2 linked regions of the Kluyveromyces lactis genome follow. The protein of the gene in region 2 purifies or fractionates together with the protein of the main gene of each other region. This does not show direct contact. Links are inferred from orthologs where the notes say so. Each region holds a gene or a part of one and is shown on either strand. Other genes may lie near its edges.

Region 1 (12,734 bases), about 1.0 Mb from region 2:
AGACTCGTCATGTCTAAGGAAAATTTATTGAAGATGTTCCATTATTCCAAGTATAAGACTTACTTGGTTAGTACCAAGATTCCGGATGGAGGCGCCACCACCGTCTACAGATGCGGGTCCTTGATCGATTTGTGTACTGGTCCACATATCCCTCATACTGGTCGTATCAAGGCCTTCAAGCTATTGAAGAACTCTTCTTGTTACTTCTTGGGAGACAACAACAATGACTCATTACAAAGAATCTACGGTATCTCTTTCCCAGATAAGAAATTGATGGATGCTCATTTGAAATTCTTAGCTGAAGCTTCCATGAGAGATCATAGAAAGATCGGTAGAGAACAAGAATTGTTCTACTTCAATGAGATGTCTCCGGGTTCTTGTTTCTGGCTGCCACACGGTACCAGAATTTACAACACTTTAGTTGATTTGTTGAGAAGCGAATACCGTAAGAGAGGTTACGATGAAGTTATCACTCCAAACATGTACAACTCCAAGTTGTGGGAAACTTCTGGTCACTGGGCTAACTACAAAGAAAATATGTTCTCCTTCGAAGTTGAAAAGGAAACATTTGGTTTGAAACCAATGAACTGTCCCGGTCATTGTTTAATGTTTAAGGCTCGTGAACGTTCTTATAGAGAATTGCCATGGAGAGTTGCTGATTTCGGTGTCATTCACAGAAACGAATTCTCCGGTGCTTTGTCTGGTTTGACTCGTGTAAGAAGATTCCAACAAGACGATGCTCACATTTTCTGTACCCAAGACCAAATCGAAAATGAAATCGCTAACATTTTCGATTTCTTAAAATACGTTTATGGTGTGTTCGGTTTCGAATTCAAGATGGAACTATCCACTAGACCAGAAAAATACGTTGGTGAACTAGAGACCTGGAACAATGCGGAATCCAAACTTGAAACTGCTTTGAAGAAGTGGGGTGGTAACTGGGAATTAAATCCAGGTGATGGTGCTTTCTACGGTCCAAAGATCGATATCATGATTTCCGATGCCCTAAAGAGATGGCATCAATGTGCTACCATTCAATTGGATTTCCAACTACCAAATAGATTTGAATTGGAATTCAAAACCAAGGAATTGGAAGGTAGCGACAATTACGAAAGACCGGTCATGATTCATCGTGCTATCTTAGGTTCTGTGGAAAGAATGACTGCTATCTTGACGGAGCACTTTGCTGGTAAGTGGCCATTCTGGTTATCTCCACGTCAAATCCTTGTCGTACCAGTCGGTGTTAAATTCCAAGAATATGCTCAAGAAGTTCGTGACAAGATGGTTGAAGCTGGCTTCTACGCAGACGTTGATCTCACCGGTAATACCCTACAAAAGAAGGTCAGGAACGGTCAAATGTTGAAATATAACTTCATTTTCATTGTTGGTGAACAGGAGATGACTGAAAAATCCGTTAATATCAGAAACAGGGATGTTATGGACTTACAAGGTAAGAACGCCACCGTTCAAGTAGACGCTGTCATTAACCAATTGTCCAAGTTGAAGGAAGAAAAGAGAGCTGATAATGTCTTGGCTTAAAGGAATATCCAAACCGATCATATATTTGTCAACAGAAATTCTAATTTATTAACCTTTCAACAGTTATAGTTTGTCAACACTATCTCGTCGTTTTAACTCCCTTACCATGCAAGTCGTATATTTAAGCTAACTATCTTTTCTGTCTCTTAACTCATGTATATTGTTAGATATAAACTAATATAAATTTCACTAATTATCATCGGAAATAATATGAATGATGGACCTTTTTAATTCGTTGTCATAGATGGAATATAGCTCTACCGGAGCAATCAAGCCTTCTGTTAAGTGTGATTTGTTCTGTTGTCATGTATGATGTTTGAAAATTTATCTCTTTTTACAAGTACTCTCCTTTGTTCTGCGTGATGCAGGATAATCCTGATAAGATTTCTGCGAACTTCATTATTTATAATTGGTATCGCTGTTATCATAATCATGTTTTCTAATTTCTTCCCATGATTTACCATTCTTTGTGTCTACAGCGGTGTTCTCCTTTCTAATTTTGTCCCACGATGACAGAGTGGGTTCCTGTGTCTCTGTGTCATTGAATGGATCATAATCATCCCTCGGAGTCACCTGAGAAGGTGGGGTAGTTTGAGAGACACCAGTCTTTGGCACACCTTCCTTCTTATCGTATTGAGGTCCTGTATATAGCCCCATTGGGTCCTTGTTGTCGAATAAAACTGAGGAGTTTCTCACGCCAGAATTGCCTTCCTTCAATTTGTCCATTACAAGTCTGGGATCAGGAATTCTTCTTTCTGGATTCTTATATGTCATGTAATAATAGTTCGCCCATCTGGTAGGCATTCCCATGTTTAATAGCTTTAGAATTTCGTACTGCTTCTGTCGACTACTTTTTGGCAAATGCGGATCATCTTCCAGTATGTCTGGTTTAGCAGCCTTAAGTTTAGATTTGTACGCCAAGGAGCCACCAGCTTGTGTGCCAATAAACATAGATAAGAATCCTAGAGCAAAAGCTCTAGTAACTTTTGTCCCTTTTATAGCTCCAGTTTTCATGTATTGATTAACGAAAGGAATACCAGTAACTATTGCAAATGCACCCCACCCAGACCATAATTGGGCCCTTGCTACTGAAAGATAGGTCTTAGATAGTTCCAATCGATCCTTAGGATCCAATACTTTGTCCTTCTCGTAAAATTCCAACGCATTGTCATACGCTTTTTTAAACCATGGTGAATTCACAACAGCTGGGTTTTGCATCGCTTTATCTACACCAAATCCCATTGGGAATGATCTCTGTGAGTTTTGTTGCGTTTCTGCGTTATCTCCCTGCATTACTTCCTATGAAGATCGAAACTTCCAAAAATGTCTGTTAAAAAAAAAGCAGAACTCGCTCGTTATTCTAATAGTTCGTACACTTGCAAAACTACAGCTTCCAATGCGCTTCTGATGTTGTTATTTAACATTCTCAGTTTACCATAACTTCACTTTATCTTAACATTCAAATTATCGATCATCCCTTATGTATATTTACGCAAACAACGGTAATTTAACAAATATGCCACATAATGCGAAATATTCCAAAACTTAGCCGATTATACTGATCAATACAACAGTAAAAGAGCATTAGGCGCTATACTGAATGTGATAGTAAGGACTTGTAATCTTATATCTACTAGCTTGATACGTTCCCTATTGCACGTGACCACATTCTTTACTACAACCAAGTTTCTTTTCCGAACGTTTGATTCAAAATTTTAAAGCTCATCTCGGTCATCGCCAAACATTTACGAACTAACAATGGCTACTTGAGCAAGCTGTTTGCATTGATATGCTCTGTTAATCAACTGACGGGAATAAAGTATAATAGGATAACAATTACAAGAAGTTTGAGATCGAAATGTCACGTCCAGAAGATTTGGCACCACCAGAAGTGTTTTACAATGACAGTGAATCTAAGAAGTATAGTGGCTCCACAAGAGTGCAACATATTCAAGCTAAAATGACACTTCGGGCCTTAGAACTTCTCAACCTGCCACATACATCATATATCTTGGATATTGGGTGTGGGTCTGGTTTAAGTGGTGAAATCATCACTGAAGAAGGACATATATGGTGTGGATTAGACATTTCTCCTAGTATGTTAGCTGAAGCGCTAGAAAGAGAAGTTGAAGGTGATCTTATGTTACACGATATAGGTCAAGGTATTCCATTTAGAGCAGGTGTATTTGATGCGGCAATTAGTATATCTGTGATTCAATGGTTATGTAATGCGGACACATCGTACAACGATCCAAAGAGAAGGCTCATGAGGTTCTTCAATACACTATTTGCTAGTTTGAAGAAAGGAGGAAAATTTGTAGCACAATTCTATCCAAAGAATGATGATCAAATAGACCAAATCTTGGGAGCAGCAAAAGTAGCTGGATTCTCTGGTGGCCTTGTCATTGATGATCCCGAGTCCAAAAAGAACAAGAAGTACTACTTGGTATTAAGCTCCGGATCTACAGAACAGAATGAACAAGTCAACTTGGATGGTGTTAAGATGGATGCAGATCTAATGGTAAAGAGAGAGCGTAAAAAGAAACTAGTTGAATCAAGTAAGGATTACATCAACAGAAAGAAGGAGGTGATGAAAAAAAGAGGTAGAAAGGTAGCTCTCGACTCGAAGTTTACGGGTAGAAAGAGAAGACCTAGGTTTTAGTATGGTCTTGCATATATAGAATTAGTAGATACGCACTTAATACAATCAGCAAACATGGACTGAAACGTTATCATTCATTCACCATTTTCCGTGTCTATTGCATCTGCCATGATCAAAACGTTTAAAATGATCATCAAACCTATGTTGTAGTTTTCCATAGAAAGAACATTCGAAAATTTTGGTTAAAAAAGATGGAAACATAAGTACCTAAGAGTTAAGAAAGCACTGAAGCGCAGTTTATATTTGAGTTTAAGCCTTTACTACCCGTCAGATCAAGTTCCCATTCCAAAACTATATTAGTCCCATACAATGTTAAAGAGACTACTACCTACCGTTATCAGACAATCTGTTAGAAGTTATCAACTTCCAGCTAAGAGTGGAAGAAAGATTATTCCAGTTTACCCACCAGTTGAAAGAATATCCTCCCCATTAGTAGTGAAGACTCTAGCTGATCATGATCTAAAACAACTTGACCCAACTGGTGTAAAAACAGAGATGGTTTCAAAGAAAAACCCAAATCGTCTACGTGCAGGTGATGTTCTTCGTGTAGTTTACGATTCCAAGAAATGCAACTACGATAGTTTTACTGGATATGTGCTATCGGTAGACCGTAAGCCAATAGTACAAGACACATCCATTCTATTAAGAGATTATATTTATAAAACCTGTGTGGAAATGAGAGTGCCAATCTTCTCACCATTGGTAGAGAGAATTGATTTGATTAGAAGAGCGGATGGTAAGAGACGCAGAAGTAAACATTATTACATCAGAAACACCAGATTGGATGTCGGAGATTTGGAAGCAAGTATGAGAAAGAAGAAATGAGCACATTCACACTATCAAACACTTGCTGAATTTTCATAAAATGAAACATGTACATAGAAGCAATTCAAACATATAGTAAGTAATGCTCGATATCAATGCAAACCCAAAGACAAGGAAGATTCAAAGTTGAAAGAGCTCCAGAGTTGAACCATAATGCAAGGTACTCTATGCAGGTCCAGCTTCTCTAGGTAAAGTTATTTGTATCATTAGCATGTCGGGTGGATATATAATTGTATAATCTGTAAAATAAAAAGGCGGATTATGCTAGTCCTTATACCTCATCAAGTGCATCCAATAAGAAAGGAAAATCATGAGAAAGGATAAGCATAAGAAAGGATTTGTACGCTCTATCTAAAACAAAGCTGCATTGAGTGAGCAAGTTGCTCTATTAGAAATGAAAAGATTACAAGCAATTTTGGTCCGCATTTTTGATAATTTATGAAGGTTCTTGATTGGTTCAAAAAAGTAGTGGTATAATGTTATGAAAGCCGTACCAGCCGTCTCTATTGAAAAAAAATTGAAATAAGCTGACATTAAAAAACAACCATAACAGGTAAGGCAGCACGCCCGCATTTTTGATCTCGTGGATGGTTGCGCCACGATGCAATGAAACTGTTACAATAATCAATGATAAAAAATAGATCTTCTTTTATTAACTTGTCATGACATAGAATAATGTGAGACAAAATAACTCACCATGAAAGGTAGATTTGGTACGTTAGATCTGCTTCATTTCATTTCGTACAAGGCAGTGCTGTAAAAAAAAAACAGTTAATAGTATATGGGTCAAAATTATTCACAAGAAGGATGTGATGAGGGTGAAAATAGAATTGTACGCCTTGTAGTGTGAAGGCAATATCGTATTTCACCTCAGCTAGATTGAATTCTTCAAAAATTCAATCATATTTAAAAATCTTGGCCTTAACTCTGTCTTCGTTACTTCTGTAACCAGCGGTTGCAGCCATCTCTTCTTCCTTCTCAGCATGCTCCAAAGCCGCTTGCCAACGACGGTCTCTAGCCTCCTTCTTTTGATCTGGATGTAGCTTTTCCTCGTACATAGATAAACCAATTGAGGCTAGTAACAAAATCACAGTTATACCTTGAGCATACATTCTTGCCTGCACAGCCTTTTGGGCTTTGGTCATGTATAAGTCCCTATCAACCAATTTCCAGGATCCATACAAGGAAGCAGCCCATGCACCAACAATGATCTTGTACTTATTGTTGGACAAACCTTCGACCAATTTTTCGCTCATAGGCAGGTTCTTCCATCTGTTATGTTCAGCAAGAATATCACTGGACGAAGAGTCACCATACATTTTCTTATCAAAACTGTTAGAAGATTCTTCAGCGACAATAGAAGCCAAAAGAGTTGGAGGCGTGATGAATAAAGCAGTCTTGACAGACCATGTCATAGCCTTTGGATTGAATTTAGGATAACGATGGGGTAAAAACCTGAACATAGCTGCAGAAATTAACAGACCTGCAGCTGCACCTTTAACACCACCCATCAGGGTGTAGTGACGATGAGCATCAATTTCTTCTCTTGTTAAAATCTTCATCTTGCTGTGCTGGTTTTTTCGTCTTTCAGTTACTTATCTCTTAAGCTAACTTTTGATTCCCTTAGTTTAAATAAGGTGATAAATATCGAATTAATACTGGAACAAAATCCTAATATATCCCGATATTTATTTTAGCCAAGAGGATAAGCATTAACAAATTTTAACTGTCAAACGATATATATATATATAATTTGAAATGATTCTGTAAACGAATAAACCGAGAGAATGCTCTTCCTTATATACGATACTTTTAAATTCCCTCCCTGCCTTTGTTCCAATTATACTTTAATTTTGGTTCGATTTTACTTTTTTACTTTTTTCCTTCCCGTATGATAAATATTCTTTGTTCCTTTATTTCTTTTTCCTGCAATATCGTATACGATTTAGGATTTATGATTGTCCATGAGGCACTGCTACTGATGTTACGTAATTTTGGCAGTTAGCCAAACCCTATATCTCTCGTTCTTGTTGCCAGCCCATGAACAGGCTCAGCGTAACCTGTTCATTGCTATCAACGTATCAATGAACCATTCGATTGAAATTTCTTCCAAAGGTCAGACAAGTTTTTGTCTGAAAATAACTCCGTCAATTAGAAAGTGACTATGTTCATTACACTGATGTTCAAAATCAATCCATACTTTAGCGAAGCTAATACCTAAGTGGGACCAGCCGAACGAACTGTCCTACTCAGAAGGATTTGCGCGTGCATACGGAGATAGTGGTTTTAGTAGTTGTTACCTGAGAAGAAGCCGGTCGGAATTTGCCACGGTTGTGGCTCCACATTTCCTTGACACAAAGTTTCCTGTGATATGATTGGTCAGTCACACATGTTTAAAAAAAAAGGAAGAGCAGAGAATATGCATCGACTAACCCTAACAGCTGGAACCTACCAGATTCATCCAATAGAGTTACAGGATCTTCGAAAAGCTTCAGTTTTGGACCTAAGGCATCGGATCGTTCGGATAATATCCATTGCAATTAGTGCAGTGTTGCGTTCATTAGCCTGACCTTTTAATACAAGGGAGAGTGATTACCATTTTGAGAAATCGCCGAAATACTATTTTTCAGGTTTCTACTCTTAAGAAAAAGAGCTTAATATGTGGAAAGCCTTTGCTTTGAATATGGCCAGCAGAGTTTTGTACATCACTCTGTTTTGACGTAACCGATATGTATACTAGCTTGAGTCTCTACTGAAATACTTGTAAAATGAACGCATATTAGACTATTGAAGATTTTTTTCAACTAGTTAATAAGCGAACACTGATACGTCATTTTTTTTTATTTTTTTCATGGATCGTTTTGTTCGACTCTTCGACTCTTCGGATATTATCTGACGCGCGACACAAAATAATAATGTGAACACTTAAAAAGTATGCGACTTTAATCATGTCCCTGGTTCGACACACTATTCGTTAGACAATGACAGGGTTCCGAGTTCTTAAATCGTACAATTTACCACAATAACTGAAAATGGATTTAGTAGAAAAAATGTGTATTAAGGCAACTAACCTCCATCCCTAGTCTTGTCAACAATATTTGCAGAAAGAGATAAGATTGCAAGATAGTTAACTACCAGCAGAGAAAATATTCAACAGTCAGAATGCGAGGTATCTTGACTCTTTTTGTTATTTGGCTTCATTTTGTTTATCCTGTCATATGTACTGAATACCTTGTTAGCTTGAAGACTCCAAGAGCTTTAAGGTATGTTTTCAACTTTAAAATCGGCGGGTCCAGTGTCAAGGAATTGATAGAATCGAAGATCCACAGAGAATTCTCATTCGGTAAGTTCAATGCCATTTCTGTTGATATTCCTCCTGTTCTAGCGGATAAGTTGAAAGATGTACCATTTATAAGTGATGTTGTGGCTAATGTGAAGATTAGTTTGTTCGATGAGTTCCCACAAATCGCTTCAGGATTAAACAATGATCAATATGACTTCGAAACTGAAGATGAGGAAGAGGCAGAAGAAGATGAGGGGAGTGATACTTATGAAGATGATGATAATTACGACGAGGATACAGACAATGGAGATACCGATTTTAGCGATGACTTCATCTCACAATCTCGAGCTCCAAGACATCTAGCAAGAATTTCTCGAAGAGCACAGTTACCAGTCATCGAGAAAGATGATACCTCATCTGGATTGAAATACCATTACCATGAAGAACACCAGGGTGAAGGGGTTTTCGTTTATGTACTTGATAGTGGAGTTAATCATGACCATCCCGATTTCGAAGGAAGGGCTATGAAAGGTATTGATACTACTGGAGAAGGCTCCGGAGATCTCGTAGGACATGGTACCCATGTTGCAGGTTTAATCGGTTCCAAGACTTATGGAGTGGCCAAGAAAGTTAATATTGTTGAAGTGAAGGTCCTAGATTCCATGGGAAAAGGCACTGTCACAAATATCATCGAAGGATTGGAATATGTCGTGAACCAATGCATCGGAAAGAAGAGAAAATGTGTCATAAACATGAGTCTCGGTGCACCAGGAACCCATTCGATTTTAGATAAAGCTGTTTCAGCAGTAATCGAAGAGGGTGTCGTGGTTGTTGTTGCTGGAGGAAACAGTGGATTGAACGCATGTTGGTACAGTCCTGCTAAGGTCAGGAAAGCAATTACTGTGGCTGCAATGGACGATAGAACCGATCTAATGGCACCATTCTCAAACTGGGGCGCTTGTATTGATATATGGGCTCCTGGTGTCAACGTGAAATCCCTTTCCAATAAAGGCCGGGGCACTTTTGTATTGAGTGGAACATCAATGGCATCTCCAATAGTAGCAGGTGCAGCTGCCATCTATTTGGATCAAGGTGCAGACCCTGCTGAAGTGAGAAAGATATTGAGTAAGACTGCTACGAGAGGTGTTTTCAAGAAGAGAGCTATTGCTGTAAGACCAAGAACTCCAAATAAGGTTCTCTATACAGGAAACAATCAAGAGGATGATGAATTTGCTTACGCAGTTTACCCGATGATTGATGAGATAAAATTCATGGATCAGTTAAAGCAAGCTACAAGTCGAGTGAAACCGCCAAGTGGCGAGATGATTAATCTAGTAACACATGATAGAAAGATACTTAAACCACGATTGAGTAAGTTCCTAAAAAAAGTGAGTAACAATTCTTAATATATTGACATACATAATATACACTTTGTTTTCGTTTTAGAGCAAGAAATCGTTTCGTTTCGTTTCGTTTCGTTTCAGGAAGACACATGCCCTTTTATTCACATGATATTAATTTATGAGCAAACTAGTGATGAAGTGTCTTCCTTCGTTAGACCATTTCGTTGTAAGTTCGTCACAAATGCTGTTATAATTTGTTATAATTGCTAGAGTACCAGCAAGGCCCGCCTGGAGAGGCAGATAATAGAAAAGAAAAATATTGACGAAAGATGACTTTATTAAAATATATACAAGACCATGTATCTCTAAACAAGCTGCTGCTTTATTTCTAGCTCACTCTTTGATGCTTGATTTCAGATATCGACAGTCTCAAGAATGGTGTAGAAAATGGTAATGGAGTAGGAAAACATGCATGGCGAGAATGGTGCTGTGGTGGAACATAGCATGAATTTGCTAAAATTGTCATCATATTGTACATTATACGAAAGGGGAATTCAACATGCAAACGTAAGATAAAATTGGATGAAATGGGCGGTCAGTAAATACGAGACATTAGGGGCATATTTCACATTTGAAACAGGATCCTCATGCAAACCATTTCTAAGACCCAATGTAATAGTAGTGTAGAATGAAAGGAAACGAAAAAAAAAGTTTATCGTGTGTTTATATATCCACAGGTTTATCCTTTTCTTTCTTTCAACTTATAAGATTACAGACTTGATACCGCACCATCCTGCAGCAGCAGCAGCCATCAAAGCGGATGCGTAACCCATTGGTTTCAATCCTCTAGAAGATCTGAAAATAGCACCAGTTAAAGCACCAGCTGCCACTGAGCCAGCAACATCATGCTTACCTCTGAAAGAATCGATCACTGAGTTGATCAAGTTGTAAGTTAAGGCCAACACACCAGCATTGTTACCCAAAAATGGACCTCTTCTTGTGATATGGTTTAATACTGTATTCAATTGCAATTTACCTGGTGAGTTAGGTGGGATGTTCTTCAACCCTTCAATGAACCCATAAGAACCACCAAGACCTAAACCAACCAAGTATACAGCACCAGTACCGTAACATAAATCGTCTGTCCAACCTCTAGATGGAATCAAACCTTGAGAACCTTCCATTGAAGAAAGCTGTTCTTCTTCCAAATCCATATACTCAACACCACGCTCTAGCCCTGCTAATGGGTGAAGCTGTGATGGACTTAATCCTCCTGGAACAGAAATAACGTTCGACACATTCGAAATTGATGATGGATCGAATCCTAGAGTTTGTTTCAGTTTATCATCATTTTGTTCAACTGGTGTAGTATTTTCTTGTGAGTCTGTAGATGACTTCTTACCACCGAAGAGCCAAGACATAGCTATACTTTATTATTATTATTATTAGCCTTAGTTTATATGGTATCGGTCAAAGGATGAAAAATCAGGAAGAGATTAGACCCGGTCCGTATTCGACAATAATGAAGCCCTGTATTTATCGGAGTATTGCCTTGATAGACTGAAATGCAATGGTAACCTAGCAAAATACCAATACGGAAAAGATGTCTTTGTCTTAGTATCTACAACTCAAACCTTCGAGGGTGATTCAACGTATCATACTACTACTTTAAACACTTTTCGATTGTAAAATTATATTTCACTAATTTTTCAAAATTTCAAAATATTTCAAGAACTACGGTTTTTTTTTTCTTCCTCTTGTTTCTTCTTGCTTCACAAGAGACTCTGTGATTTCAAGACCATTCAAGGTAAAATCAACGAATCGTACAAAATGATGATTCATGTAACCGGAACCGTTCTGCAGATGTAGCTGACCTCTGTTTTGAGCGCAGCGAAGGGTAAACAGAGAGAAAAAAATTTGTCATTTCATTTAGCATTTCTAGCGACAAAAAAAATATTTAAAACTGACGCCCGCCATGAGACAATGTTATTTCACACGACATTGCAAAAGTTATCACTGGGTTTCCAAACAGATATCAACTGAGGTATCTTTGGATGAAACTTTACCTACGCAGATTGATAGAAATCTGTAAAAAGGAGCGCATTGCCCTTAAATTCGTACAAAGAATACAAAGGAAAATTGGGGATTTGTTAGGAAACGACTTTTCTGAAATTATACATTTTCAAACCAGTATATATATATAAAGGGATCCGTATAAACCTTTCATATCAATGTACTGTCGCTAATGTTTTTTTTTAAAATCGCCTGGGATAATTTGTGAAAGCATTTCAGATACTAAGGTAGCATACATGCACTAACGCATTTCAAGGCTTCACACTTTTGAATAAACATAAATTTAATATAAAGAGTGCAGTTTTACATGAAAAGGACGCTGGAACATATGTCAGTCTGCCCCTCAGAAAAACTCCGATGAATAATTTAGAGAATCATCAATTTTCATTCTCTGATGATTTGTTACACTGTGATTACACGATAAAACACAAGCTGTTAACCCGCTTTATGACGAAAAGTTTCACCCAGTGATTGAAATACAAACAAAAAATGGCAGAACGTAGTGCTAGAGTCCAATTTGATTTGTTCGAGTCCGAAAAAGTGTTGTTGCGACACAAATGGATCAGAATATTAGAGGAGATTGACTCCGAAGTCTCAGTGACGCTTGGATTTGATCTATACAATACTAAGAAAGAGGATACGAAGTTGCACCACTGCGAGTTGAAGAAGGTGAACCAAATGAGAGTCGGTTACGACGAGTTCCTATTGAAGAAAATTAAGGAAGCTGGAATACAAAATGCGAAATGATTTCTATCAATCTAAATTTTCATTCCAACAGCTGCTCACCCCTTGTATGCTTAACGCTTTTTTCTATACCGTTGTAACAATTTGTCTATAACTTAACTATCTTTCTCTCATGTCAGTCAGTTTATACTATTTCCGCTTTTTTTTTTCTGACGTCTTGTAGTCGCAAACCACAAGAAACCGCAAGTCACGTGATCTCAAACCCTCATCTATCGCTAATCTATTCTAAAATCCAATCGTTGCAGCTTTCACATAAATAACCGCT
Region 2 (12,098 bases):
AAAATTCTACAGTCAAAAAGATGTCCAAGATTTAAAATGGGCTCGTTCGTACCCTGTAGATATCGCATTAGAAACTTCAACCAAAGAATACGGTGAACATGTTTACTCTATCGAAAGAATTGTGGATGGATTTGGTAATAGCATTGATTTTTCCTCATTATCATCACAAGTAAGAGAAAAGTATGATTTGATCCACAGATTCTACGTGCACGACTTACCAAGAGTATCTTTGGATGAAAAAATGAATCCCGACAGTTCTGTTAGAAGGTCTTTAATAGTCAAATTGGACTCTGGCGATTTTAACAAGGATGCTCCATTCATCGTTCAGTTATCCCATGAAGATAACAACTCCAAAGTGAGATACTTCGAAAAACAATTCAATGATAAAACATTAGAATTCAAAGTTGATGAGCCAGGTTCTTATAATTTGCTCTCAGTAAAATCGAGGTATTGCCACGGTGCCGTGATTGGAAAATCTAATGTTCTGATAACTAAACCAATTCCTCCTCAATTATCTGTAAGATCAACCCCAATATTAGATCAATGTGTTGGACAGGTCGGCTTGAATTTTGATCTTACTTTTACCGGTGTTCCTCCCTTTTACTACAAAACAAAAATATACAAAACTGAGCAAGGAGAACGTAAACTATATGATACAAAAAAATTCAGCTCCCAAGGAACCAGAAACCAGTTTACTTATTCACCCACATCAGAAGGCAGTTATGAAATTGTTTTCACCGAATTGTCAAATGAACTTTTCACATCTCCTATCTCCTTAGATTCGAAAGAGTACACATTCAAAACCAGCATGAGAGTGAAACCTAGTGCAAAGATTTCAGGGAAGCTAGAGACAAAATTATGTCTTGGAGGGAAAACGAAGGTACCTATTAAATTCAGTGGTGAGCCTCCTTTCACGTTAAACTATGATTTAGTAGAGACTTCTTCTAATAAGAGAACTTCGTTTAATAAAGAGAATATTCAAAGTTTTTCCTATGAGATCGAAACACCTAATTTCAACATTGGTGGTGATCATATCCTATCTTTAGTTTCTGTGAAGGATTCCAGTGGATGTTTGGTAGGTCTAAGTGGTACTGATGCCAGAATTACCGTTAGAAGAGATATTCCTTCTGCTTCTTTTGCTGTGTCAGAATCTTCCTCCCAAGTCAGCATTAAAGAAGCTTCATTCGCAGAACTTCCATTAAAACTTTCAGGTGAAGGACCTTTCAGAATCACCTATAGCCATTTGGATAACAAGGGAGACGTTCTCGAAACTGAAGAGGTGACTTTCAGTTCCAACTATAAACCGGCCTTAAAGGTTATGAAGGAAGGTTTGTATAAATTGGCTTCAATTCGTGACCAGAGTTGTGTTGGCAAGATCGTAGATCCGAACCATACTTTCCAAGTAAGTTATCTCAAAAAACCTACGTACTCATTAATTGAGCACAACAGAATCTCAAAACTGGACGATTTCAACTACATTAAAAATGATGTCTGCCAAGGGTTTGAAGAAACCATCGATATGTCTCTAAACGGCATACCACCCTTTTTGATAGAATATGATATGATTTCACCGTTAGGAGAGCTTATCTCATCTTCAGTGCAAGTTGCTACGAAGTATGCTTCAATTAAATTCCCTAATGAAGTCGTTGGTGAATATGTGATAAAGATTAAGAATGTATATGATTCCAATTATGGGAAGGCTGACCTCCAAAAACTTGCGTACAAACCTTCTCAACTTTCGATAAGACAGAATGTAAACTCACTTCCAGAAATAGAATTCTTAGAGAAAGGAAGCACCTACAGAACCTGCTCCGCAAACATAGAGCAATCAAAGCTAATGCAGGATATCAAACTGAAGGTGCCTCATGGCTCAGCTCCTTTCTCTGTTTCGTTCAGTATTTATCACGAAAGTTCTTCGAAAACAGATTCTTTCACCATGCATAATATTACGGCTGCTAACTTTGATTACAAACGATTGTATGATGGCCTCTCGTTGGGAAATCATTTAGTAAGCATTGATAGTGTTACTGATGCAAACGGTTGTATCAATGACCTATCTTCGAGTGGTAATCAGATTTCAATATCAATAACAGACGTTCCTAGGATATCCCTAGCAGACTCTACCATGGAATATTGTGTTGGGGATTACGTTGGATACCAATTGAGTGGGACACCTCCATTCATAATAAAGTACGACTTCAATGGTAAGCAGCTAAAATCCAAGGAACGTTCCTCTCAGTTCGTCAGATATGCATCTGAGCCCGGCGTTATATCTATTTTTTCAATCCAGGATTCTTCATCACAATGTGTAGTAGATTTCACAAATCCGAAGATGAAACAAGACTTTGAAAGGTTATCTTTGAATATACATCCAATTCCGTCGGTAACAGTATCACAAGGCCAAGAGATTGTTGAAGATATTCATGAAGGTGACAAAGCTGAAGTTATATTCTCCTTCGAAGGTACACCTCCTTTCGCATTAACCTACGTCCGTACTGAAAACTCTGGCACCAAAAAGGGCAGAAAGCAACAAATTGTTGAAACACACAAAGTTTCCGATATCTATACTTACGAGTACAGAGTTGTGACCAGTCTACAAGGTACATATGAAGCTTTAGAAGTGTCAGACGCCTTCTGCGCAGCTAAGAATCGTGCGTTGTTGGATTGAAATTTGATTTCATTGTATAATAAATAACCATCTTAAAACTCATTTGATCCTTCAAAGTGGTGAACTATAGGGCTATCATAAACCAACCTGTTGGCATAAGAATTAGCTGTAAATCTACATCACTATCTTCGCCTTCCATTAGCGTTTGTATTCCATCCAATAAAGGTAATGAGGGCATGCCGCTCCTGTGGAACCAGACCAATTCCTTCTTATAGGCATTTTTCAAGAAACGAAGCTTCCATGGAACGCTTCGGCCGACAGCTTTGCGACATCCGAGATTGAAAGTATGTTCAAACTGTAAGTCGAGGTTTTTAGTAGAGCTGTTGGTTGCTGTATGCTCAATATCAACAAGGGTTGTTGAATGGTCATATTCTGGATCATTTTCCAAAATTCTTCTTCTCTTGCTTGTTGGTTCTTGAAAAAACTCAGAAGATTGCGTCTGCCTCTGATAGTATGTTTCTAGTATGCCCGAACTTTTAATTTGATCGTCAACTATCTCTGTAGTGTTCCTGGCACGGATCCGAGAAAGAATAAATGGATTTGAAAGAGTCGTATTTCTGGATAGCTCTACGTCTTCAAGATCTCGCTCAATGCAGCAATCCTCGGTGTTCACAATGTCAGAATATAGAAGGTTTTCCCTTACTGGTGAAGATCTACCATCGGATAGCGTGCCGCTATACATGTCTGTCAACCATTCAGATTCCTTCTCGAGAATTTGTTGAGTAGGGTTATTGGTTATTTGCCGGTGAATTTGCTTTGGAATGTCACTTGTATTAATTATTCTACGAGTGAAAATCACTGATTCACTATCAATATGGGTAGAATTTGAAGGATCATTATACTGCATGTGTGGAGCGTAGAAGGTGAGCAGTGAACATTGCAAAATAGATAGAGCTTTTTCCAGTGTAAGTGCGACAGCTTTATTTTCGCCATTGACTACAGCATTGTCGCTAGTATGGTGGCATAAAAATTGAATGAACCATGCCCTCGGTTCTGGTTTCCCGAAATGCTTATAAAATTCCTTGAAAAAATGATTGACTTTTTTACCAAAGCCTGATTGTACCATTACTGCTTCTCCATTAATGCAAGGATATTTAAGATTCGGCATCAATTCTGTCACTCTGCCATGTGTTCGAATTTTGGGCAATATGATATTAACTTTTAGAGATTCACTTAGCTCTATCTCATCAAAGTGTTCGAACTCAACTATAAGATTCTGTTTGGTAACATGTTTTTTGAATTGCGACATCCGGTCTTCATATTTACCAAACCGCGCAACATATTCTAAAGTCTTGATACTTCCGTCCCTTAGAGGATTGACAAGCTGGCAACTAAAACATATATGCTTATGAATCAAAGAAAAATGAAAAAGCATATCCCTAATCATTTTAATATAATTTTTATCTTTCTTTGCCAGTCTACTGCTTTTACTTCCCGTCATTAGGTCTCTGAGAATAACTGTCGTACCCGGTGGATTCACTACCTTGGAAAATCTAATAGTTTCATTTATTCTGATTCTAGGTGGTGACCATTTAACAGCAACATTCTCTGAAATAGTCCGTGTTATCACCTCGATAGATCCCTTCTTCGATGCTGTTTTGCCAATATTATATAACGCTCTTCCTTTGTACCCTATTCTTTTGCATGATTTACCGTCAGTTTTGAAGTGTTTAACAAAAACGCTGCTGCGCTTCTGGACACTTATTCCGTTACCATCATCATTCAATTGGATGTACCTACATCCGCCGCTAGATTCATCTATTTTGATCAGCACTTTAGTACAATTGGCGTCTATCGAATTCTCTATCAGCTGTTTAACCGCCGAGACAGGATTATCAATAACACGGTTTGTTGAAGTGCTATTTTCAAACAGCCAACAATGAAACCTATTATTCATACAGCGACTTTACAATATTTATCCCTGGGCAGAATCTCTACTCCTTTTTAAGGCATCTTTTTATTGTATATCTGCTTTCTGTATTTATATGTCAGATCTAAGTTGATGAACTTCAGAGTACATTCGACCAAGCTTTTTCTGAAAAATGTATACCAAGTTGAACCATTAAAAGAAATAAAACATAGAAAAGCTCTCGATTTCAGAGTAGTAGATTGAAGTCAAGTAACGTTAATCTAACCGGGGAAATATGGTACCGGTAAGAATTCCTAGAGAGGTACTCAAAAATGGCAGTTTGCAGCACTCGCGGCCAAAAATCATAACGTTTGATGCATATAATACTCTTTATTCCATCAAAAAACCTGTAATGGAACAGTATTGTATAGTGGGTGCCAAGTACGGGATTAATGGTAATCCACAAGAACTCACTAAGAGATTTCCAGGGGTTTTCAGTAATATCCGTAAAAAGTATCCTTTATATGGTAAAAATTCTGGTATCACGGCTGAACAATGGTGGGAGTATCTAATTAGGGATATGTTTGAACCAATACAGATACCAAATGAAATGGTAGAAGAAATCTTAGAAAGGTTCGAGGGCGATGCTGCCTATACGGTATACCCAGACGTCAGGGAATTTTTGGAGACAATGAGGAGGAACCATCCTGAGGTTTCTTTGGGGATCGTCAGTAATACTGACCCCATTGTCCTTACGTTGTTAGAGAATTTAGATCTTAAGAAATATTTCGACGGAAATATCTATCTGTCTTATGATCTTGAGATAAAAAAACCCGACCCGGCTATGTTTAATTACGCGGTCTCTCATATGTTGAAACGCCACAACACTAGTGGTCAACGTGAGAACTTGGAAAATATTCGGCCACACGTCTGGCATGTTGGTGATGAGGAGAAAACGGATCTGGGAGGAGCTTTCCAAGCTGGAGTAAATGGAATTCTTGTAGATAGATCAAACTCATTCGGTTACTTCGACATAACAACTCCTGATGTTTGCAAAAAGGAGTTATCAGAAGATGATTTATCTCTGAGGAAAGTGTTACACCATTCAGAGGTTATATTACAAGAATCTGATGCAGTCACTGATGTAGTACAATTAAACAGCAGACAGTATGTTTTACCAAATTTTAAATCATTGGAGGCCCTATTATTTCAGCAGTAGCGGCATCTTAAGATATAGTGCTGTAAATATTTGATTGAGCAAACGACACTCTGTATGATGGACTATCCCTCTCTTAAATTCCACCTTGCGTACCCATGCTACTGTCAGGTTTTGGATTGGAAAAAAAATAAGTGGACAAAACCGGAGTCGAACCGATGACCTCTTCCTTGCAAGGGAAGCGCGCTACCAACTGCGCCATTTGCCCCGACACGATTGTTAGTCAAGACTATCAGGTATATACATTTGATGAGCATCATCTACTGCCATAGCATGCTCATGTCTTCAGTATCAAATTATTAGTTTCCGAGATTTGTCAAATTCTCTGTAATGCCAAACACAACGAAACATGATTCGTGCTTTTCTAGCTACAGGTTAATGGAGCTCGAAGAATGGCGTATCCGTTGTAACGGTATCTGGATGTAGAACAGTACTGAAATATAATAGGACTTGGATTTTAAAAAAAAAATAATATAAGTAAATATATGTATTTGGCTCCTGAATGATATTAGAATGTATTTTCATCACTGTTTTGATGTGTGGGTACGTAACAAAGTTTAAACTGTGTTCTAAATTGATCTTTCTTTGTAAATTTTTTTTATGAGAGTATTGTTTTAATAAAAGTGAAACTTGTACTGGGATTTCCGGATCTCCATCAATGTTACTTAATTTCCACACTAAGGTCTGGAATGATGATCCAAGACGCTGAAACTTATATTGAGTGGAAAACGTTACAAAGTGACAATAACATCGAAAGGGGAAACGGAGGACGGATGTGAATGGGATAATAAATATATTGTTTTAAAAAGAAAATGAATGAAAAATCGATGGGACAGAAAACAGTGAAGCCATTGTTCGAGGAAAGTGAATGAAAATAATAAAAGAGGAAGATACGTTAAGTACGAATCATAACAGATAATTTCAGTATCTGTTGTCACATCTTGCTCCAAATGAATATCATCTTTTTTTGTTTTTAGTTTTCCTAAACTAGTTCTTCACTAATTAACTGCCTCTTTTTTCATCGCATTATATCACATATTTCCAACCAGTTTATGGGTTAATGTCACCAGCAAAGATACCCTGGGATCTTTGTTCATCCCACTTTTCAACCCAGTCAACTGGACATAGAGAGGAGTAGGTCTTCCAGAAAACCTTGCATGGAGCGAAGTCTTCACCCTTAGCATTGATACACTTGTGGTAATCCACGTACGATTGCCAGCAGTGCTTTGTTTGGTTTTGGTTTGGGAATCTAGCGTCGAAACCAACGGTGTGTAATGGAGATTCTTGATTTTCAGCCATTGTAATAGGGTTTATCGGTGATGATGTTTGAACAAAGAGTGATCTTAATTAACCTGAACAAAATCAATACAAAACTAAAATATCTTTGAATAAGAATGAACAAACAAATCTCAAACTAATCTAAAACTAAAACTCAAAACAAAAATAACAACAAGAATTGAAAAGAATAGTTCTTAAACTTCTTTATTTTAATTCTAAAAACTAATCAGTTAAACTAAATAGAAAGTTAGAATAATCAAAATCTTTTTTTCGGCTTCAAGAAAAACTATGAAAATATCATTCGAAAATTTCATTAGGAATGAAAAAAAAAAAAAAGATGAAATATCGTAACATTAAGAAGAGGTAGCACAAACAGATACTCCGCAGACATAGACTTTAATAGTAATATTACTAGTATATATCCAGCGTAAAAGGGGTCAATTGAATATTACATCTACCCTAGTATACAGCTGTGTAGTACCAGAGAAAGGAGTACATATGCTTCGTTCAATTAAAAGCGTAACTGTAAAATACCTGGTTAATTGCGAAAAAATCGCAGTATATGATGGTAACACTTTTCCATTCAGCAAGAAAACGCATCATCTTCTTATTATGGCACGAGATGTTTGATTTGAATAGTGTGAGCATACATATTTTATATGGGGTTTGAATGTAATCGTCTTTGACGATGCAGTCCTTGTGATTGGCCGAGTATCACGTGACAAGTGCGGTTAGAAAAAAGGTATTTCCCAGTATTAATTAGATCATGTCCAGACAAGTCTGTGCTAGTGTAGTATTTCCCTTACTGTCTAGTGCTCTTAAGAATCGAATTAGTTGTAGAGCGAAATCCCAATACTCTTGTGCTTGCTCTTTTGTAGTTGAAAGAGTGGCAGTGGATACGAATATCTTGAGGACTTGACCTATGACTGTTTCGTCTTTTAGGATGGTGGATACACTAGTATCTGGAGAAGTCTCTCTACTATCAGATTCCTTGAGTCCGTTTGTATGGCTCTTTTCCTTGTTCTTGTTCTTGTTCTTGTTTTTGTTGTTCTTGTTCTTGTTGTTCTTGTTCTTTCGTTTTGTGGACTTTGTCGTGACCTCTTCCTGTTTAGATTCACTATCGCCCTCGTCATAGTTTAAGAATACCATCAAAAGCGTACCCAAGATCTTCGCTTCAGATAGAGCAATGCACTTGGTGATAAGATCTCTTGGAGTTAGTTTTAGATTCTCAAATAAGTAGTCCCAATGTTTTGTTTCGATCTTTCTTAAACAATTCCCTACGATTTCAAGTTTACCAACTTCATTCTTAATCCCGCCTGAATTTTTATCATAGGTATCGATTAATGATAATATGGAGTTCAAGTCCTCATGTTCCAATACTTTACTGGATAGAATTTTTTCCAAACAAAATTTGTAGTGCTTCAAATCATGATACTTCTCATCAATTTTATCGCCTTCCACGCCTAGTGTCAAGTTCCGGTCCACAATCTTATCTAAGTACACACCGTGTGATATTGAGAGTTTCGTTAACTTTTGTGTTGTAATGCATGAAATATTATGCAGCGTTGCTGTATCTAATGAAATTGAAATCGGATACTCTTCTTCGATGACCGGTGTAGTGATTAGGGGATCATCGACGGTCCATATGTGAGCAAAATCGTATAATAATACTTCGTTGCCACTAAGTAGTACAAGATTGTCCTCATATATCTCCAAGATCTGTTCCACCCGATCGTATGCTACTTGGAATCGCCATTGCTTATCCTCTTGTTGGCCAATAATTACCAATTGATCTCGAATCCATGCAATAAACCCTTCTTTATATCTGTATATCCATTTTAAACCGCGTAAGGAATTTTCTGGGAAATTATACTCTGCATACTGATGAAATTTCTGAACCATGTTAACTCCAGTTGGATGTACCGAACTTAGTGCATCGAATATGATCATATGCGAATTCGAAAGAACCATCAGTATCTCCGATGTAACAAACACCTTTTTGCTGGCATCATCTCTGTCCTCCCTTTCATCAGTGAATTTTAACATCTTGTATGTCGACAAAGTGTTCGCATAGAAATTATCCAACTGGTAGCCTTGAGGTACCTCCCATTCCCAAGTCTTGAAATCTTCAAGATTCGTCGATCCATCATTCAGTAATGGGAAATGGTAGCACTTTACCATTTCTTTATCAGAATCCTCATCTGTGACATGGCATAGCAAATAGTCGTCCCCAAGCCAATCGATATTCTTGATATTCATTTGGTCAAAACTTATCCATGTGTTGGAGTTCAAGAAATTGATGAGCAAAATATCTTTGTTACCTACATACACTGCCATTAACGTCAAAATCCCATTTGTCTTACAGGTACTAATGTTGTTGTTAACTGTTTTAGTCGGTAACTTAATTGTTTGAAAAGTGCTCGTATTTGTGGAATCACTCATAGGAGAGTAAAGTAGTATATCATTGTTATCATTGAGTAAAGTGAAGACTTGACTTGTTCTGAAATTGGAGAGAGAACTGTCTAACTTTTTCCAAAGATCCCAAAGCTGTAGAGTACCATTCGATCCACTTATTAATAGCTTGGTATCTATAAGCGAGCAATGCAGGATTTTGAATTGGCTCTCATCGATTGGGATTGATAATAATATATTTCCCCACTTACTCATAAAGATAACTGAGTTGTTTTCGGTCAACAATACCATAGTATCGGGAGAAATGGCTGAAATGCAAGAAACGTGTGTTATGGCCGGATATTCACTGACTAAAATCTTATCAAAGACGTCGTAGTAAATGGTACATTTCTCAAACGCAACTACAAGCAAATGGTCAAACATTACTAAATCTTTAAAAACACCGGATGGGCCCTTCAATGCTATATTTTGAGATTTCACATTTTCCTGATCGAAAAGGATATGCTCTAGAGATAGTTGCTGCTCATCGTAAGATAACACTAAAATTTCACCAGCACAGTAAATTAGCTTTTTACCGTTAATTACATGTATTAGCTTATTGTCAATTAGCTTGAAGTCCTCAAGCTTCAATACTTGCAGCCCATGTTCAAAAAGTACCAAGAGGTATTGATTAGCATGCTCAGTACGCTCTATATCATGCGTAATTATACCAATAACATCGAAAATTTGATGGTCAAATTTTAGCACCACGTTTAATTTCAATTCCGTCCTGCGAATCGGTAACTCTTCAGCTATATCATCATTTTTCATAAACTGCAAGAAGCCTTTTTGTTTGGAGATTGTATAACCGTTCTGTATAACCTTATGATTTTCCTTAGCAGAAAAAACTGTCAATACCTCATCATCCATATCATCATCAAGAGCTCTATGAAGTAAAGAATCATCTGACGGCAAGTTTAACGGTATGCCATATTCTTTGAACACGCTATTTTCAGATGTTTTGGTGTATAATTCGTAAACCAACAGAAAGTTGTTCTTGGTTATAACATAGTAGAACCGCTTATCATCTATTACTGGATCGCAAAATTGGCCTGTAAGGAAACCCTTTACCTCAGTGCCAAGAGGTAAATTATCTCTAATACCAAAATTGACACCAAACAGTTCAATAGACTCAGCAGTACGTTCGTGACATGCTAATGGAGCAAAGGGTTTGGCTTGGTAAACAAAAAGTCTTGTCTTTGTAATAAAAAGGAAGTGGTTTGAATTAGGTGCCTCAATTGTTTGAATGATATCCTCATCGATACCCTCTATACAACGTCCGGGAAGTTGAAATGATTGCGGTGGTTTTACTGGGAGCATCATCGTCTATAAGTCTTCTGTTTAGCCTCAATTGCCCCTTACCTTCATGTCCTGTTTATCCTTCAACATAAAGAATGAAAACTGTAGATCATGATGTTTTTTCGTATCTTTGATTTCGACTACTATTTAAGCTATTACCAAATTGTGAATAAAGACATACAACAGTAACTAAAAGAATAAATGAAGTGTTCTAAACGATGAGTCACATCAACTCCAAATGTAGTCGAGAGGAGAAAATTTGTCCATTTTATCTGTTTTATTAACTTACATGCGAGCGAGTAAAGATTAAGAGGATTTAATTTGTAAATAATAATAATAAAAACGGAGTTTATTACACACTGATGGTTTTCCAGACGTTTAACCCATCAGTTCCTGTACTTACCAAACAGCCAGGAATTTGTTTATGCCATTTTACATCCTTAACTTCCTTTTGCCAATGTACGAATAACAATTGGGGAGGAATTTGTTGTAATTCTTTAGTTTCAGCAGCTTGTTGCTTAATTTCTTCATCATCAGCTTCAACAGACAAATCCCATAGAGTAACGGTGTTGTCTTCGGATGCGACAGCAATTATAGATTCATCGAGTGGATTGAAACTAATTGAAGTAATTGCACCTTTGTGGAATTGATACTGTGCCACTGGGGAGGCAGTGGATGCATTTTGTGGAGTAAACTGTCTTAAATCCCATACACCCCAAGTACCGTCATCATCACCACTAGCAAGTAGGTATCCAATCTTCTCACTCCAACTTATAACATTTACATCTGTATTTGACGCCTTAACCGAAATGGCTGGCTTGTGTTTTTTAGAACGAGTGTCCCAAATTCTGATATATCCGTCAATACCACACGAAGCGAATACAGTCGATTCTGTACGAGACCATTGCAAGTCTTCGATAGATTTATTATTAGCAACCGTAAAGGCTTGTTTATCAGTAATCCACTTGGAAGTATGTCTTTGAGTTAAGAAGACTTGGCCAGAGCAATCACCCGATAGCATTGCACCAGTTTTTATAATTGGAGACCAATCATTAGCGTAACCTTCGACACTCCCATGATTTCTTACAGTATGGATGGGTCTTTTGGCTTGCTTTGGGATTTGGTATCCAGGAGTCTCAAAGGCTTTCACCTGAGAAGCCAGATCAAAAATATATACTTCCCCATTTTCAGACATAGTGCTACACAATACCTCTTGAGCTGCATTGGCAAAAGGAGACACTTTCAATCTATTGGTAGTGTCCTTAAGGGAAATGTTTTCATTCTCAATGACAGGGTCCGTGCCATCCTCATCCTCATCTTCACCTTCGTTCTCATCT

What was found.
Region 1: the proteins of COX12 (region 2) and RCF2 purify together in Saccharomyces cerevisiae (affinity purification with mass spectrometry; 3 studies listed by BioGRID, with this or other methods). This does not show direct contact. The link is inferred for Kluyveromyces lactis from reciprocal best matches to the Saccharomyces cerevisiae genes COX12 and RCF2.

Annotation. Positions count from the first base shown.
Region 1 is NC_006042.1:568,499-581,232, forward strand, and holds RCF2 (Rcf2p), read right to left. Parts: upstream 6,589-12,734; coding exon 5,923-6,588; downstream 1-5,922. Other genes in the region: threonine--tRNA ligase THS1, read left to right, coding at 1-1,539; RCI37 (Rci37p), read right to left, coding at 1,939-2,832; BUD23 (18S rRNA (guanine1575-N7)-methyltransferase), read left to right, coding at 3,398-4,201; IMG1 (mitochondrial 54S ribosomal protein bL19m), read left to right, coding at 4,511-5,026; RRT12 (Rrt12p), read left to right, coding at 8,189-9,715; protein transporter TIM23, read right to left, coding at 10,414-11,073; KLLA0_F06061g (uncharacterized protein), read left to right, coding at 12,215-12,472. UniProt on the Saccharomyces cerevisiae protein: Assembly factor that plays a role in the assembly of the respiratory chain supercomplexes (SCs) composed of ubiquinol-cytochrome c oxidoreductase (cytochrome b-c1 complex, complex III, CIII) and cytochrome c oxidase (complex IV, CIV).
Region 2 is NC_006042.1:1,577,784-1,589,881, reverse strand, and holds COX12 (cytochrome c oxidase subunit VIb), read right to left. Parts: upstream 7,033-12,098; coding exon 6,784-7,032; downstream 1-6,783. Other genes in the region: POM152 (Pom152p), read left to right, coding at 1-2,668; mismatch repair protein MLH2, read right to left, coding at 2,733-4,565; DPI35 (Dpi35p), read left to right, coding at 4,813-5,736; RIC1 (Ric1p), read right to left, coding at 7,771-10,785; ribosome biosynthesis protein RRB1, read right to left, coding at 11,114-12,098. UniProt on the Saccharomyces cerevisiae protein: Component of the cytochrome c oxidase, the last enzyme in the mitochondrial electron transport chain which drives oxidative phosphorylation.